2 linked regions of the Notamacropus eugenii genome follow. The main gene of each other region encodes a partner of the protein of the gene in region 2 in a complex. Links are inferred from orthologs where the notes say so. Each region holds a gene or a part of one and is shown on either strand. Other genes may lie near its edges.

Evidence for each region.
Region 1: the proteins of MICALL1 (region 2) and EHD1 are in contact, whole or in part, in an NMR structure (PDB 2KSP), measured with the Homo sapiens proteins. The link is inferred for Notamacropus eugenii from reciprocal best matches to the Homo sapiens genes MICALL1 and EHD1. Residues at the interface, in NP_203744.1 of Homo sapiens: Lys422, Tyr424, Asn425, Pro426, Phe427, Glu428, Glu429; in NP_001269373.1 of Homo sapiens: Gly464, Ala467, Lys468, Met471, Asn478, Leu481, Gly482, Trp485, Lys486, Lys492, Asp493, Gly494.

Annotation. Positions count from the first base shown.
Region 1 is NC_092873.1:17,647,733-17,655,680, forward strand, and holds the start of EHD1 (EH domain-containing protein 1), read right to left. Parts: upstream 3,004-7,948; 5' UTR 2,875-3,003; coding exon 2,856-2,874; intron 2,610-2,855; exon of another isoform or gene 2,515-2,609; intron 1,057-2,514; coding exon 630-1,056; intron 1-629. UniProt on the Homo sapiens protein: ATP- and membrane-binding protein that controls membrane reorganization/tubulation upon ATP hydrolysis. In vitro causes vesiculation of endocytic membranes. Acts in early endocytic membrane fusion and membrane trafficking of recycling endosomes.
Region 2 is NC_092874.1:295,400,702-295,407,619, reverse strand, and holds the start of MICALL1 (MICAL-like protein 1), read right to left. Parts: upstream 3,008-6,918; 5' UTR 2,996-3,007; coding exon 2,772-2,995; intron 2,446-2,771; exon of another isoform or gene 2,357-2,445; coding exon of another isoform or gene 2,211-2,356; intron 1-2,210. UniProt on the Homo sapiens protein: Lipid-binding protein with higher affinity for phosphatidic acid, a lipid enriched in recycling endosome membranes. On endosome membranes, acts as a downstream effector of Rab proteins recruiting cytosolic proteins to regulate membrane tubulation.

The DNA of each region.
Region 1 (7,948 bases), on a different chromosome or scaffold from region 2:
CACGAGGGGGGCGCACGCCCGCGGAGGGGGGTGCCCTCCCTCCTGTGGGGGGGTCCCTGGAGCCTGGCCCTGGGTGAGGGCACACGGGGGGGGGGGGCGCCCTCCCTTCTGGGGGGGTCCCTGGAGCCTGGCCCCGGGCGAGGGCACACGAGGGGGGCGCACGCCCGCGGAGGGGGGTGCCCTCCCTCCTGTGGGGGGGTCCCTGGAGCCTGGCCCTGGGTGAGGGCACACGGGGGGGGGGGGCGCCCTCCCTTCTGGGGGGGTCCCTGGAGCCTGGCCCCGGGCGAGAGCACACGAGGGGGGCGCCCTCCCTTCTGGGGGGGTCCCTGGAGCCTGGCCCCAGGCGAGGGCACACGAGGGGGGCGCCCTCCCTTCTGGGGGGGTCCCTGGAGCCTGGCCCCGGGCGAGGGCACACGAGGGGGGCGCCCTCCCTTCTGGGGGGGGTCCCTGGAGCCTGGCCCCGGGCGAGGGCACACGAGGGGGGCGCCCTCCCTTCTGGGGGGGTCCCTGGAGCCTGGCCCCGGGCGAGAGCACACGAGGGGGGCGCCCTCCCTTCTGGGGGGGTCCCTGGAGCCTGGCCCCGGGCGAGGGCACCACAGGGGGTGCCCTCCCTCCCGGCCCCCACTCACCGGTTAAGGAAGGCGTTGCCGAAGGCGTTGAGCTTGCGGAAGGGCCGGCGCGGGTCCACCACCAGCGCGTTGCCCGGCACCACGCCCTCCGAGGCGCCGTGCATGACGGCGATGAAGGAGTCGGTGGTGGGCTCGGGCCCGATGCGCATGCCGGGGAAGTCCTGCTCGATGAGGTGCCGGATGAAGGTGGTCTTGCCCGTGCTGTACTGGCCCACCAGCAGCACCATGGGCTTGTTGTCGAAGTCGGCGTCCTCGAGCGCGGGCGAGTGGAAGTCGTGGAAGCGGTAGTGCTCCTCCAGCGGCAGCAGCTTCTGCGCGTACAGCTGCCGCAGCCCCTCGGCCACCGTCTGGAAGAGCTCGGGCTCCTTCTTGCGCCGCGCATCCTTGTTCACCCAGCTGAACATGGTGACGAGGCCGGCGGCCGACGCTGCGCGGGGAAGCGGGCCCGTGAGGCGGGCCGCGGAGAGGGAGGAGCGGCGGCGACGGCGGCCCGGCTCTGGCCCCTACCGCGCCCCCTCCGCAGCGCGCAGGCGCACACACAACCGCCCGACCCGGCCCGCCCCCGCCGCCGAATGAGAGCGCGCCTCCTCCGGCCGCCTCTTTTATAGGCGGCCTGGAACGGGGGCGGAGCCCAAGCCGCCCGTGGCCTTCGCGCGCGCCCGCCCGGCCGAGGGGCCGCAGCGCCACGTCCTCCCCCGCCTCCCATTGGCCCGGGGCAAGTCTCGCGACGTTGCCTGCTGGCTCGTAGCCGAGGAGGCTACCGAGGCAAGGGCGCCGTTTCTCCCCACCCCCACCGCCTATTCCTTGGGGGAGGGGGGGGCGGGGTTGAGGACCGCGCGTGCGCAGGAGAGGGAAAAGACCCTAGGGCCAGATCGAGACGCGGAGGCGGGGCTTTTTGTGTTTTCCTCCGCCCCGCCCACTCGGCTCCTGTCAACCTCCCCGCTGCCCCGAGTGCCACTCTCGGATCACGTGTCCCAAGCCACCCTGGGCTCTGTCCTAGGTCCGCTCCTAGACCTGCGCTTGCCTATCAGCCACTCCCCAGCCCCCTCCCCTTACAGTTAGGGAAACTGAGGCCCGGGACAGGGAAACGACTTATCCAAAGTCATACATGAGACCAGACCAAGAAGGGGCTCTGGCCCCTCAGTTTACACTTCGGGAAACTGAGGCTCACTGCGCCCCCCTCTGACAGATCCGGATTCTAAAGCCCCGAGAGAGGAGAGGACTTGGCCAAGGTCACACCTACAGTGCCCCTTGATGCCCCCCCGTGTGACCTTGGGTCAGTCTTTCCCCCTCCAGCCTCTGATCACCCATCTAACGCAAGGTGGGACAGACAATAAAGGACCTGGAGTCAGGAAGACCCGAGTTCAGACCCTCTCCTGCGCAGGCACTTAACTTCTCAGCCTCAGTTTGTTCGTCAGTAAAAAAGAAAGGGGGGGGGGTGGAACAGTAACAGCCTCCATCTCCACCATGGGTCCAAGGAGCTAGCCCAGTCAAGGGCACCGCCTGACACCCCGAGGTCGGGGCTGCTTCTAGAGAGAGGCAGAGTTGGGGGGATGATCTCCCAGCTCTAAATTCCCCAAATGCAAAAGTACCCAAGAGCCCCAGGGGCTCTTCTGGATTCTCCCTCTGTGTCCGTCAGTCCCTCCTCCCACCCTCCCCATCTTTACCCTATGTCCTCTCCTAGGATATAATATCCAAAAGGTGGGACAGGTGAGAAAGAGTCAAGAAAGGGGGCAGAGGAGGAGTAGAGAAGGAGGCGAAGTCAAGTGGAATGGAGGCGAGGTACACAGCAGGTGTTGAGTTAGACTGTGAAAAGTGAGAAGGAAGGACAGAAAAGCAGAGAAAGCCAAGCTGGATGGGCAGGTGATTTTTTTGAATCCTCTAGGTCTGAGACATTTGGGAGAGAAAATGAAACAAGAGGGGCAGGGGAATTACAGACTGACCTGATTCTGCACGAAGAAGGAGCTTAATAAGTGTTGGGTGAGTGCATGAGTGAGTGAATGAATGAAAGAAAAGTGTGCCTGTGTGTGAAAGGAGCCTGTTGAGTTTTGAGGAACTAGGTTTGGAAATTCCCCTCCTCAGTGTGGGAGGGAAGGGGAAAAGGTCTGGGGAAATAATCAAATTTCCTGGGTAATCCAAAAGACCAAGGAAATCTAAACCACTTCTGCTTTTGCGCCTGTTCTCACTTTGTCCTCCCTTTGACTCTTGACCCAGTAGCTCCCTTACCGGTTCCTGGCTCTTCCATTGTGCTGATAATTCCACCACCATCCCCAGAATTGCATAGCCCCACATCCACTGCCTCTGGGGTGGGCAGCAACAGGGGGTTGGGCCCAGGTGGAAGCCCCAGGTATGATGTCAGAGTCCTGGGAACCGGGATTGTTAGATCAACAGAGGGGGTGCCAGGCAGCGGCTTCCTCTGGGGAAACAGAAGGAGGGGAGAGTGTGGAGCCACTCCTGGGGCTGTTCCTTGCCTCAGGTATAGCAGGAACAACAACTAACTCAAGAAAGAGACAAGGATCTTGGGAGGGGAGAGAATGGGAAGGGACACATTAATTCTAGGAGGGAAAATGGGTCAGAGAAAAAATATTGAATTAAGGGAGACTTGAGGCCAGTTGCTTCTTTCTTCTTCATCACTGAGATGATCACAGGCTTATGTTACAAAATCATCTCCCTGATACCCACCACCCAAAATCATCTTCCTAATGTCCACCCTTCAAAAATTTTTCCTAATGCTCACCCCCACAAAAAAAAAAAAAAGCTGACCAGGTTACTCCCCTGCTCAGAAAACCTCAGTGACTCCCTATGGCCTCTGGGATAACATACAACCTGTCTGGCATTTAAAATCAGTCAATAAGCATTTATTAAATTAATAAGGAAATGAGGAACCAAAAGTCAAGGTGCTAGAAGTAAGGTGTTCAGTAAATACCTACGATGTGCCAAGCACTGTGCTAAGTGTTCGGGGTGCAAAGAAAGCAAAAGACAGGCCTTGCCCTCCAGGACCTCAGAGTCTGATGGGGAGACAACAGCAGACAACTGTACCAGGCAGCCTAAGTCAGAAAATGATCACCAGAAGGAAAGCTCTAGAGTTGAGAGGGACCAGGAAAGAAAAGGCTCCCTATGGAAGATGGGGTTTGGGGTGGGGACATGAAAAAGGAATCTAGGAGAAGAGATGAGGAGAGCGAGGATTCTGGGCACGGGAGATGGCAGGCAAAAATACCCTTATCTAAGAAGTGCAGTCCTTCACAATCTTCCTCCACTCTCTTTAAAAAAAAATTTCACATTGGTGCTGGCCTTAGAATCAGGAAGACCTGTGTTCAAATGTGGCCTCAGACACTTACTAGCAGTGTGACCTTGGGCAAGTCTCTTCACCCTGTCTGCCTCAGTTTCCTCATCTGTAAAATGAGGGTAATAATATCATCTTTCTTCCAGGGCTCTTGTGAGCATCAATGAGTTAATAATGGTCAAGTGCTTGGTACAATGCTTGGCACATTGTGAGAGCTGTGTTAGCTCTTAGGTGAGAGACTGTGCTATCAGGAAACAGTGGAGACCATCTGAAGTTGTTGTTCATTTTCTGCTGTCCCAGGGCCAGGGAATGGGATTTCTGAACATAGGACAGTGGTCTGGGCCACAGGAATTGCAAAGTAGGACCCCAGACTGGGATTGGCAGCCAGTGCAGCTTCAATGTCCCAAAGAGAAACCTTCGGGACCCTGACTCTGCAGAAGGACTCTCCTGGGATGAGTGCCACATCTGGACATGAACTATGGGACCAAAACAATGAAGGAACATAGTTAAGTTTTGTGCCTTCTCCAGAGGCCAAGGTGATGTAGGAGAGAGACATCCCAAAGGCATGAGGAGGAATGTCTGAACATTTGTTCTTGTTATAGCTTTGAAATAAACTGGTGTTGTTCAATTGTGTCTGACTCTTCATGAACTCTTTTGGGGGTTCTCTTGGCAAAGATACTGGAGTGGTTTGCCAATTCCTTCTTCAGTTCATTTTACAGATGAGAAAACTGAGGCAAACAGAGTTAAATGACTTGCCCAGGGTTACCCAGCTAGTAAGTGCCTGAGGCCAGATTTGAACTGAGATCTTCCTGACTGTAGGCTTGGCACTCTATCCACTGCACCAACAGACACCTAGCTGTGTGTAAATGGCTAAATTGAATTGGGGTGCTAGTCACTGGCCCCTAACAAATGGAAAGAACACAGCCAGTGAGGGCTCATCCTGGGCAGGAAAGAAGAAACCCTACCAGGTACCCAAGAATCCCATAAGGATTTTCTAGCAGGCCTGGTTAAAGGGGACTGGGTCAGAATGTAGACACACTAACAGTAACTCAAAAGGCCATTGACTTGAAAGGGAATCCACAAATGACAACAGATAGGAATCAAGCCACAACACACCCTCCCAATCTTCTAGGGAATTTAGGTCATGCTTTCTCAAGTTATTTCTCACACTCCCTCATTGGTGGTAAGAAACTAGTAGATTAGGGAGAACAGGTTTCAAGAACTCTTCTCCAAGGCTTCGCCAACCACAGAGGCCAGGGCTGGAGCTCAGCAGTCCAAGGGAAGAAAGCTGGCTAATCTCCTGACTTGTGCCTCTGAAGCTCTGATGACTATGGCAGCTGATCCAACATGCCCAGTTGGTACCACTCAGCCTGGAAGCGGCAGAAAGGTTCCTGCTGGCAACAGCAAGAGGCCCTTGAGTTTCTGAGGTACCTTCCTGGCTGGCCCTCCATTTGGTTCTGTCTGCTCAGACCCTGCTGGGATTTTCCCACTTCCCATCTCTCTTATGAGAAAGTTCACACCAAGCCTGTCTCAGGCAAGCCCACCAAGGCTCCACCCTACCAGACCCAGAGTAGGTGATGTTGTCATCAGCTGAATGCTACACAGGCGTTTCAAGGATAACATATTCTCCCTTCCCCTATAGACAGTTAGTCAGTCAGTCAGTTAACAGCCACTCCAGAATGTGGCGGTCACCCTGTTAAGAGTTGAGGCTAAAGGCCAAAAGCAGCCTGTGCCCTTAAGCAATGGGAGATACAACATGTAAATAACAAGGTACATTCAAGGAATATGCAGAATTAATGAAAGGTCATCTGAAAGAGGAAGACAGTTATTAGCAACTGGGGGGAGGACTAGGAGGAGCCTTCTGCTGAGCTGAGTCTGGAGAGAAGCCAAGGAAACTAAAAGGCAAAGATGGGGAGGGAGGGCATTCCAGGCATGGGGTTTAGCCAGTGCAAAGGCAGGGTGATGGGAGATGGAGGGTCATATGAGAGGAAGAGCAAGAAGGCCAGTATAGCTAGATAGTAGAGTACATAGAAGGGAGAAGGTGCAAGAAGATAGGAAGGGGAAGGGTCATGAAAGGCTTTGAAGTCCAGTCAGAGGAGGTGGTATTGATCCTGGAGGTTATGGCTTCTCTTTCCCTCCCAGTGGCCCCACTTCCCCCCATCTCCCTTCTGGGGTCACTGGATTGAGCAGGGGGTGGGGTGACATGCTCAGGCTACAAGTGACAAAAATCAGCTCATCAGCTGGGCTCAGACAGATGGGAGAGAGGGATAAAGAGAATATTGAAAAGATTGGGTGAGAGGTGACCAGGGCCTGAACGTGGGGTGTGGCTGTATGAGCAGAGGAAGGAGATGTTGTGAGCGCAGAAATAACAGAATTTGCCAAGACATAGGATGTGTGGCTTGAGGAGGTGTGAGAAGTTGGGGGAGGGTGGCGGTACCTTTGATAATAATAAGGAAGTTCAGAAGGGGAAGGCGGGGTGCAGGGGGAAGCTAAATGAGTTTTAATTTGAACATGTTGAATTTGAGACATCCAGAATGCAACTGGAGGCACATGACCCATAAAGAGGTCAGGCCTAGACATAGAAATCTGGGCATTGTCTTCATAGAAATGGTCGTTGAACCCATGGGAACCAATGAGAATAAAGAGAAAGGAGGCCCCAGGACAGAGCTGTGGGGCCTCTTGTGCATGGTTAGAGAATAAAGAATTAGCAAAGGAGACTGCAAAGGGGATTCTCAGAGAGGAAACAAGAGAACCAGGAGAGAAATATGTCAAGAAGACCTAAAGAAGAGAGAGCGCCCAGGAGGACAGGGTGATGCACCAGGCTCCTCCATCAACAAACTTCTTTCATTCCAACCCAACCAAGGGCAATCCTAGCTCCAGCTTGCTTTCCTTTAGTCTTTCCTTCTCCTGACCCCATTCAAAGGCCCCTAAGAAATTCTTGGGCCAATTCCTCTTTATCTATCTTCCCTTAGCTTCTTTCTTCTCTCTTCTCATCCCAGTGGAATGCTGGCTCCTTGCAGATGGGGTCATACTCCAGTACTCTCGAGGTAAGGCTCATTATCCTGCCTCCAAGGATAAAGAAGGACACAGTTTTAAGTCTTTCCTCCTTGTTTGAAGTCCATGCCATCTGTCCATCCACCCAAAGCACCTTTGAATCATCACAGGGAGTACTGGCAGTCCCTGTCTCTACTTCTACTTTCTCCTCTTTTTACATATTTTTCCCCAGTGAAGTTCCCCATACCTGACATTCCAGCTATCACCTCCCCATGGGTGACTTCCCAGACTAGATCACCCCAATCCTCCCATCCCATGTTTACAGCCAACAGTTCTCAAACTTAAATACATCATCTTCTCCCTCATCCCACTTCTGAGAAGGGTACCACGAGGCTCCTTATCACTCAGGCTTGAAAGGTTGCAATCATCTTTCATCTGTTCCCCTAAAAACCAATCAATCATGGAATTTTAGATGCTCAAGTTTGGAGCTCAGAAGAGAGGTATAGATTTGGGAGCCATCTGTGGAGAGGCTGTGACTGAGATTGGGGGATTGAAAGAAGCTTCCAAAGGAAAAAAATGGAAAGAGACAGGAACAGAGCTTTGGAAACTTCCTTTCTCCCAGAGCTAGAAATAGCAAACACTGAAGGACGCAGAAGATGGATGGAGAGAAGTAGAAGAACCAGGGCTATGGGGTAGTGAGCATCCAAGAGGACAGGGTGATGGGGCGGTGAGTGTTTGGGAGGAATTGTGGGGGGAAATTCACTAAAACATCCATTATTTTGATTCAGGAATTCCAGGGCTAGTCAGTGACCAAAGGAAAGGCTCCATGGGCACCATAATATTGAGAGAAATACTTTTTGTGAAAGCAAAGGTCCACTGATTCAGGAAATGGCCAAACCAGTTGTGGTGTGTGACTGTAGGAGGGCAGGACTGTGCATAAGAAATGACAAACGTGATGAATGCAGACAAGCTTAGAAAGATTTCTGTGAACTGATTCAGGGCGCATCCAGCAGAACCAGGAACACAAGATTAAACAAGTGAT
Region 2 (6,918 bases):
ACAAACACATATGTGCCACGCACCATACAAGACCTGGCTGCACACAGACATTTCTCCATCAGCTAGATCCCCCATCAGTCTGTAACCAGAGCAAGCTCCCTGTGCTAGGGAGCCTTGAGCCCCACAGACTGCTCTCATCTGCTCCCCTTACTGCACCTTACTATTTTGTCCAAGACAATATTGGCCTAAATTTCCTCCTTACCCACAGGGGCAGGACAGGGGCCTTCACAGCCCTTCAAAGTCTCACTCAAGGCTCTCCCAGACCCAGCCTACCACTCCCTGTGGGAGGGGCCTAGACCCCAGAGGAGCCTCCCCCTTCCCAAACAGTTCATTTGTTCAGGGGTAAGAATGCCAGGGCTAGCCAGGGAGGGAGAAGAGGTCTATACACCTGGTAGAAGCAGAGCACAGAAGTGCCCTTTAACCAGATGTTGTGAAACCAACTAACTTTTTACACACACACACACACACACACACACTCACATACACACATTCACACTAGATACTTGACACTGGGGGAAAGGAAGGCAAGAGAGAATCACTGACTCCTACTGCCAGAAGACCATCAGGGAGCATCCACATTGGCACCTCTGACATACAGCCTGGTGTGGCTTGGCACAGTACCAGAAGATCCCAGGGGCCAACCTGGTTCTGATACTTCCTGGGACCTCAGGCAGGAGGAAACCTGTGAGAAGAAAGCCATGGGTTTGGATCCTAACTCCCATGCTTTGGTCCCTTGGGCACCTTGTATCTCTGGTGTCCAGGTCAGGAGCTGAAAGCTTATCAGCAGCATCTGAGGATATTGAGTTGGAAAGGACTTCAGTGGCCAACTCTCTCACTTTTACAGATGGAGAAACACAGGCCCAGATAAAACGACTTCCCTCCTCTCACAGAATTCTGGATTTTTATCTTCATTCACTCACAGATTCTTGCCCTTGTCCATGAGAATGAGGATGGTCAAAGGGTCAGCCTTTCTGGCCCAACTCTGCTATTGATCTCAGAATCTTAAGGAACAGGAGGAAGGGACTTCCCCAATGTCACCCAGCAAGCTAATGGCAGGGCCCTGAGTTCCTGGGCCCCCCAGCAAAGTGCTTTCTCTGTGCCAGATTGACTGGTTCTAAGACCCTGATCGGCAGTGCAAAGGACCAAGCAGGGCACCTGAGTTCTGGTCTCAGTTTGGCCCCTAATGGGCCATGTGACTTTAAACACAGTCTTAGGCTCAGAGGCCTTCCCAGGCATCTAACCCAACCTTGAATTTTTACAGATAAGGAAACAGAAAATTACACACAGCTGGCAAGGCCTTCAGAAGCCCTGGAGCCCAACTCCCTCCGAGAGCGCCCAGGGTTCAAACGCTACTTCTGACACTTGGGACCCTCAGGAACCCATTCAGGCTCATCAGGCCTCAGTTTCCCCCTCTGTAAAATGCTGGGTGGCCTCTGAGGCTTCCTCCAAATCTTAAACTCTGTCTTCTACATCAGAGGTGTCGGACACACTGCCTACAACCTTCCAGAGGGCAGCCAAGTCAGATTAAAATCCAATTGGAAAATATTTAACCAAAAAAATTTACAATAAAACGTAGATAGCATTAGATTTTAAAACTAAGTCCATCTGTGGCCCACAGGGTTTGGCCTCAGCAGCCTCTGCCTTGGGCCCTGGGTGCCCCATCTGCACATACAGAGTTTAGACCAGATCTCCGAACCCCTGCTTGGAGCTGGGGCTGCTCCTGCCTCCGGGTGGTAGCCCATCTGCTGACCCACCTGGGGAGAGTGACCTCGGGAAGCGGCCGGAGGATCTGAGCAAGGCTTCGGGAACCTGACGGGCGGCTCGGCACCTCTCCCTCTCCCACACACTCACAGTCACACTCCCACAGTCTCACACACAGTCACCACACACACACACACACACTCTCACACTCACTCTCATACACACTCACGCTCGCACACTACACACACTCACTAGTCTCTCCCACGCCCTCCCAAAGGCACAGGAGGGGTCCCGCGCCCCCGTCGCCGCCCCCCCCCCGGCCCGCGGCTCGGCGCACACCGGGAGGTCGCGCGCGGTTCCCACGGCCTCCGGACCAAACGAAACTGACGAGCCTCTCTGCAGCCCCGCCCCGCAGGCCGGGTCCCCAGCCCGCCTGGCCCCGGCTCGAGGCGGGGGCGCACTGCCCCCTCCCCCCTCCTGCTCCCCGGCCCCCATCCCCCCGCGCTCACAGCAGCTCGGGCCGGTGCCGGTGCAGCAGGGCGCAGAAGGCCAGGCCGTCCCGGAAGGAGCCGCTCAGGTCCCGGATCTCCACGCCGGGGTAGCCGCGGCACTGCTGACGGCACCAGGCCAGCAGCGCGGCCCGGGGCCCGGCCATGGCCCGGCCGCCGCCTCCTCCTCGGACTGGACCCCACGGCAGCCCCGCTCCGGCCGCTCGGGCTCGGGCTCCAGGGCTGGGCTCTCTGTCGGCTCGGGCTCCTCCTCCTCCTCCCCCTCCCCCTCCTCCTGCCCCTCCCCCCGGCCCTGCTCAGACCTGTCCGGCCCCGCCCCGCCCCGCCCGGCGCTTACTCACGCGCCCCGCCCGGCCCGGCTCGGCGCACGGGGCGGGGCAGGGGGCGGAGGAGGCAGGGGGGACCGGGGGCCCACCCTCACCCCGCATCCCCCCTGGAGAGGCACCGCAGACCTCCCCCGCTCCCTCCCTCCAGCCCCGCGGGGGCCCCCCCAACTCCCGAGGTGCACGTGCCCGAGGGATCCCCCGGGGCCCCAGACCGACCGCGCCGGGGCTACCCTACCCTGAGGGCTCCCCGCTGCAGAGAGGAGCCGCCCCTGCACGGACACCCGAGGGACGGAGCCCCCGACGTCCCCACCAGGGCCTGATAAAGCCGAAGGGCCCCCCTTCCTCCTCGAGGCGGGCGAGAACTTCCTTCCTGGAATACCCTTTGCGCCCTCCTAAGGATGCCCGGCACGAGCCCTCCCCCTCCCAGGCCCGGGAGCCCCTCGCTGGCCTCGGGAACATCCTCCTCCAGGATCCGCCAAGTACCCCCCTCCTCCCGGCCTCCGCCCCCCAGCTCAGCCTGGTCTCCTCCCTGACGCCAGAGAGCGGCCCCCGAGGTGGGAGGCTGAACACGCGCACGGAGACAGGGGGTTCGGTAACCAGGACGTGGAGGAGCCTGGAGTCCGAGGGCTAGCCCTGCGGCTTGCACCTTACACGGCCTCTCGGGCCTCCGTTTCCCCGTCTGCACAATGAAAGGGCTGGCCTCTGAGATCTCCAGCTCCAGCTCTGGGGTCCGATGGCCCTAACCAAGCCTTCTTTCCCTCGCTGAGTCTCCATTTCCCCCTCAAGATCCCTCCCAGCTCTAAAAACTAGGATCCTCTAATGACTGCTTAATACTATAAGGATAATACTATACTAACATTTACCCAGGACTTACTGCTGATGTGCAAAGCCTTGGACCTACCAAAGTGAAAACCAGCAACAGTCTTTGCCCTGAGGGAGTTAATAAGCCTAATTGTGGGGAAGCAATAATATATACTTGAATTAGTATAGTACAGAATGTCCTAAAAGTCTTAGTGCAGTTTAAACTCATAAAAAAAGAGCGAGTGCAGAAGCTGCACTCAAACTTTTGGGACAGATCTAGTGTGTTGGAGACAAAATGCTTCTTTGGTTTGGGCAGCCCTGAAACTTTCAGTTGGACTAGGACCAAGGAAGCCTTCCTAGACAAGGTGGTCCTGAGCTGGACTTTTGGGGAAAAAGTTGTCACCAGGCCAAGCTGAGGATGGAGCACTTATCAGGCTGGAGAGGGATAGACTGTGCATGCATGAAAGGGATAAGATGAGAGCTATAGTAATGCTCCTGGAGTGGGCAAAGGGAATACTGTGAAAGAAAGCTGGAAAGGGGGATCGGAAGCCAGGCTAAGGTTTTTGTATTTTATACTCCACTAGCCCATCCCTGTAACTTTCAGGACCAAAGTTCCCCTCCTTGCCCACCACTGTGCTTGGCATGTAGACCAGGCTTAAAAAATGCTTTGACTTTCATTCTTTTATCCTGGAGGCAAGATCGAACCAATGAAGTTTAAGGAGTTAGGGAGTGACCTGGTCAGATTCATTTGGGGCCAAGTGCACCTTTTCTATGACTGGTAGATGGTTCTTGAGAGTCCCAGAGACTAACAACTATATCCTACTGTCGCTTAGCAAGGCTGGTCATTGGATTAGTCATACACTGTCACCAGGGCCCTTAGAATCTATGCCCTAGATCATTCTTGGTTTGTCTTATCTCCAGGTCTATGGTGACCTTCAGACGAGAATGGACAAAACCCAGCCATTATAAATTGTAAAGCTGCAAGCCACTACTAATAACAATGGCTATGATAAGCCAAACCACTACTAACAACAAACCACCATTTATAGCAAGTCCTTAGTGCTCGAGTAGGGGGAGAGATTTGCCCACTGTTATAAGATCAGAAATCTAAAGCTGGAAGGAACTTCAGCATCCCTCTAGTCCAGGCGTAGGGAACCTGCAGCCTCGAGGACCTCAAGTGTAATCCAAACTTCACAGCACAAATTCCCTTCATAAAAGGATTTGTTCTGTAAACACTGATTCAGTCAAAAGGTTGCACCCAAGGACCTAGAGAGCCACAGGTGGCCTTGAGGCTGCAAGTTCCCTACCCTTGATTCTAGGCTAACATCTTCAGTTTACAGAGGAAACTGAGGCTCAGGGAGCTGAAGAGATTTGCCCAGGGTCACTCAGGTAATAAATGTCAGGGATGGAATTAGCAGAGACAGAGCAGCTAGGTGGCTCAGTAGATAGAGTACCAGGCCTGGAGTCAGGGAGACTCATCCTTGTGAGTTCAAATCTGGCCTCAGATACTTATTAGCTGTGTGACTCTGGGAGAATCATTTGACTCAGTTTCCTCATTTGTAAGAAGAACTGGAGAAAGAAATGGTAAACCAACTCCAGTAGCTTTGCCAAGAAAACCCCAAATGGGGTCATAAAAAGTCAGACAGGACTGAACCCAACTGAACAACAACATGGAATTAGCACTCAGACCTTCTGATTACTAAATGAGGTGTTTTTCCCACTCCACTAACTTCACCTATTATATTATCATCACTCCAGTGATGTCATTCGGATGTGTCTGCTCAGCTGTGCTCCCAATCCCCATTGAGGTTGCTCTTTTAAGCAGGCAGCTGAGTCAGGGAGAAGCCAAGTAAGTGAGCTCCGCACATGGATTTACTGGAGAGGTTTCCCTAGCAATTATCGCATTTATGAAGCCTTTAATCCCAATGTGATGTCACTACCCAAAGGACAATAGGACTCCTTAAATCCATTCAACCAATAGTCATTAAGGTCTGTGCCCAGTGCCATGCTAGATACGGACGACACAGAGGAGGAAATGTGCTGCTCTCCATCATCAAAGCACTTACCACCAAGCAGATGGTGCCCCTCAAACAAGGGAAAGGACCTGAGCAGGACCAGGAGAGCACAGATTCAGAATCAGAGGGCAGAGCCAGAGATCTTTCCACTGTACCACAGATAATGCCTGTAGAGTTTATAAAGTGATTTGCATGTATGGTACAGTGGAAATAGTGCTTCTTTGGGTTAAAATCCTTCTGTCACTGTCTATCACTACATCCCTGAGTCTCAGTATCCTCGTCTATAAGATAAGGATGTTGAACCTCTGAGGAGTCTTCCAGCTGTAGGGTCTTATGACTTCTCTGGGCCTCAGTTTCCCCATTTGTAAGAGGAAGGGGTTGGACTAGAAGGTTTCTGAGGTCCAATTCTGTTTTCCCTTCTTAGGATACCTGCGATATTGCAGGCTCCTGCTCTCACAACCCTCCAGAGAGCAGGTAACCATCTGCTTCTTCCAGGTCTAGATCTGGCATCTCCTTGATGTCCCTTGTGACCTAACTGTGTGGCTTTGGACAAGGCTCTTGTTTCTCTGGCCTTTGATTTCTTTACCTGTAAAATAACAGGAGAAGGTTGGACAAGGTGATCCAGCTCCAGGCTGAAGCAATACAGTGTGACTTCTGTAACATGGAAATCTGATATGGCACTAATGGGCACTGGGCACTGATCCAACCCAATGAGCACTTAGTCAATGCCTACTGTGTGCCCTCAGAGGCTACAAGTTGTAGAGGAGGTGCAGGTCTGTGTTTGTAAAGGGATTTTCCTCACTGGAAGTTCCCTCTGCCAGTGAAATCACAAGTTTGGTTAAAAAACAAATTCTAGATGCTGAAGAAACAAAAGCTAAATAAAACGAGTCCCAGTTTCCTGGAGAGCCCTTTGGAAACCTTAAAGGACTAAAGAAACGGTGTGGGTGCTTTCTCCCTTCTGGAGAGGCCCCCAAGTCAAAATGGAGGGGAACGAAGGAACATGAACCTGTATGTAGAGTCCAAATGCATCAACTCTCATTTTACAGACAAGGAAACTGAGGCCCTCAAGATTCATAGGATCATAATTCAGAACACCTCCAAGGTCCCCTTAACCAACACTCTCATGCATCAGAAGCAGAAGTGGAATCCAGGTCTCCTGACTCCAGAGGCAGTGTTCTTTCCATGGTACAATTGATTAGAATTAAATTGGAGAAGGGAGTAGTTCCTTTGAGCTTCTGTCGATGACAGAAAGTGGGTGAGGAAAGAGCTTGGAGGATGGGAAGTAAAGGCCTTCGACCTGCCCTTGGATCTTCACAGCACCACCAGACCTGTCTCAGAAGGAAACAAAGAGACACACACACAGACACACACACACACACAGACACACACACACAGACACACAGACACACACACACACACACACACACACACACACACACACACACACACACACACACACACACACACACACACACACACACACACACACACACACCCCCAGCAGTGGGTTCCAGGCCACTGAAGAAAACAACCACCTTTCCTACTTGCTTACCAACTCATTAACAA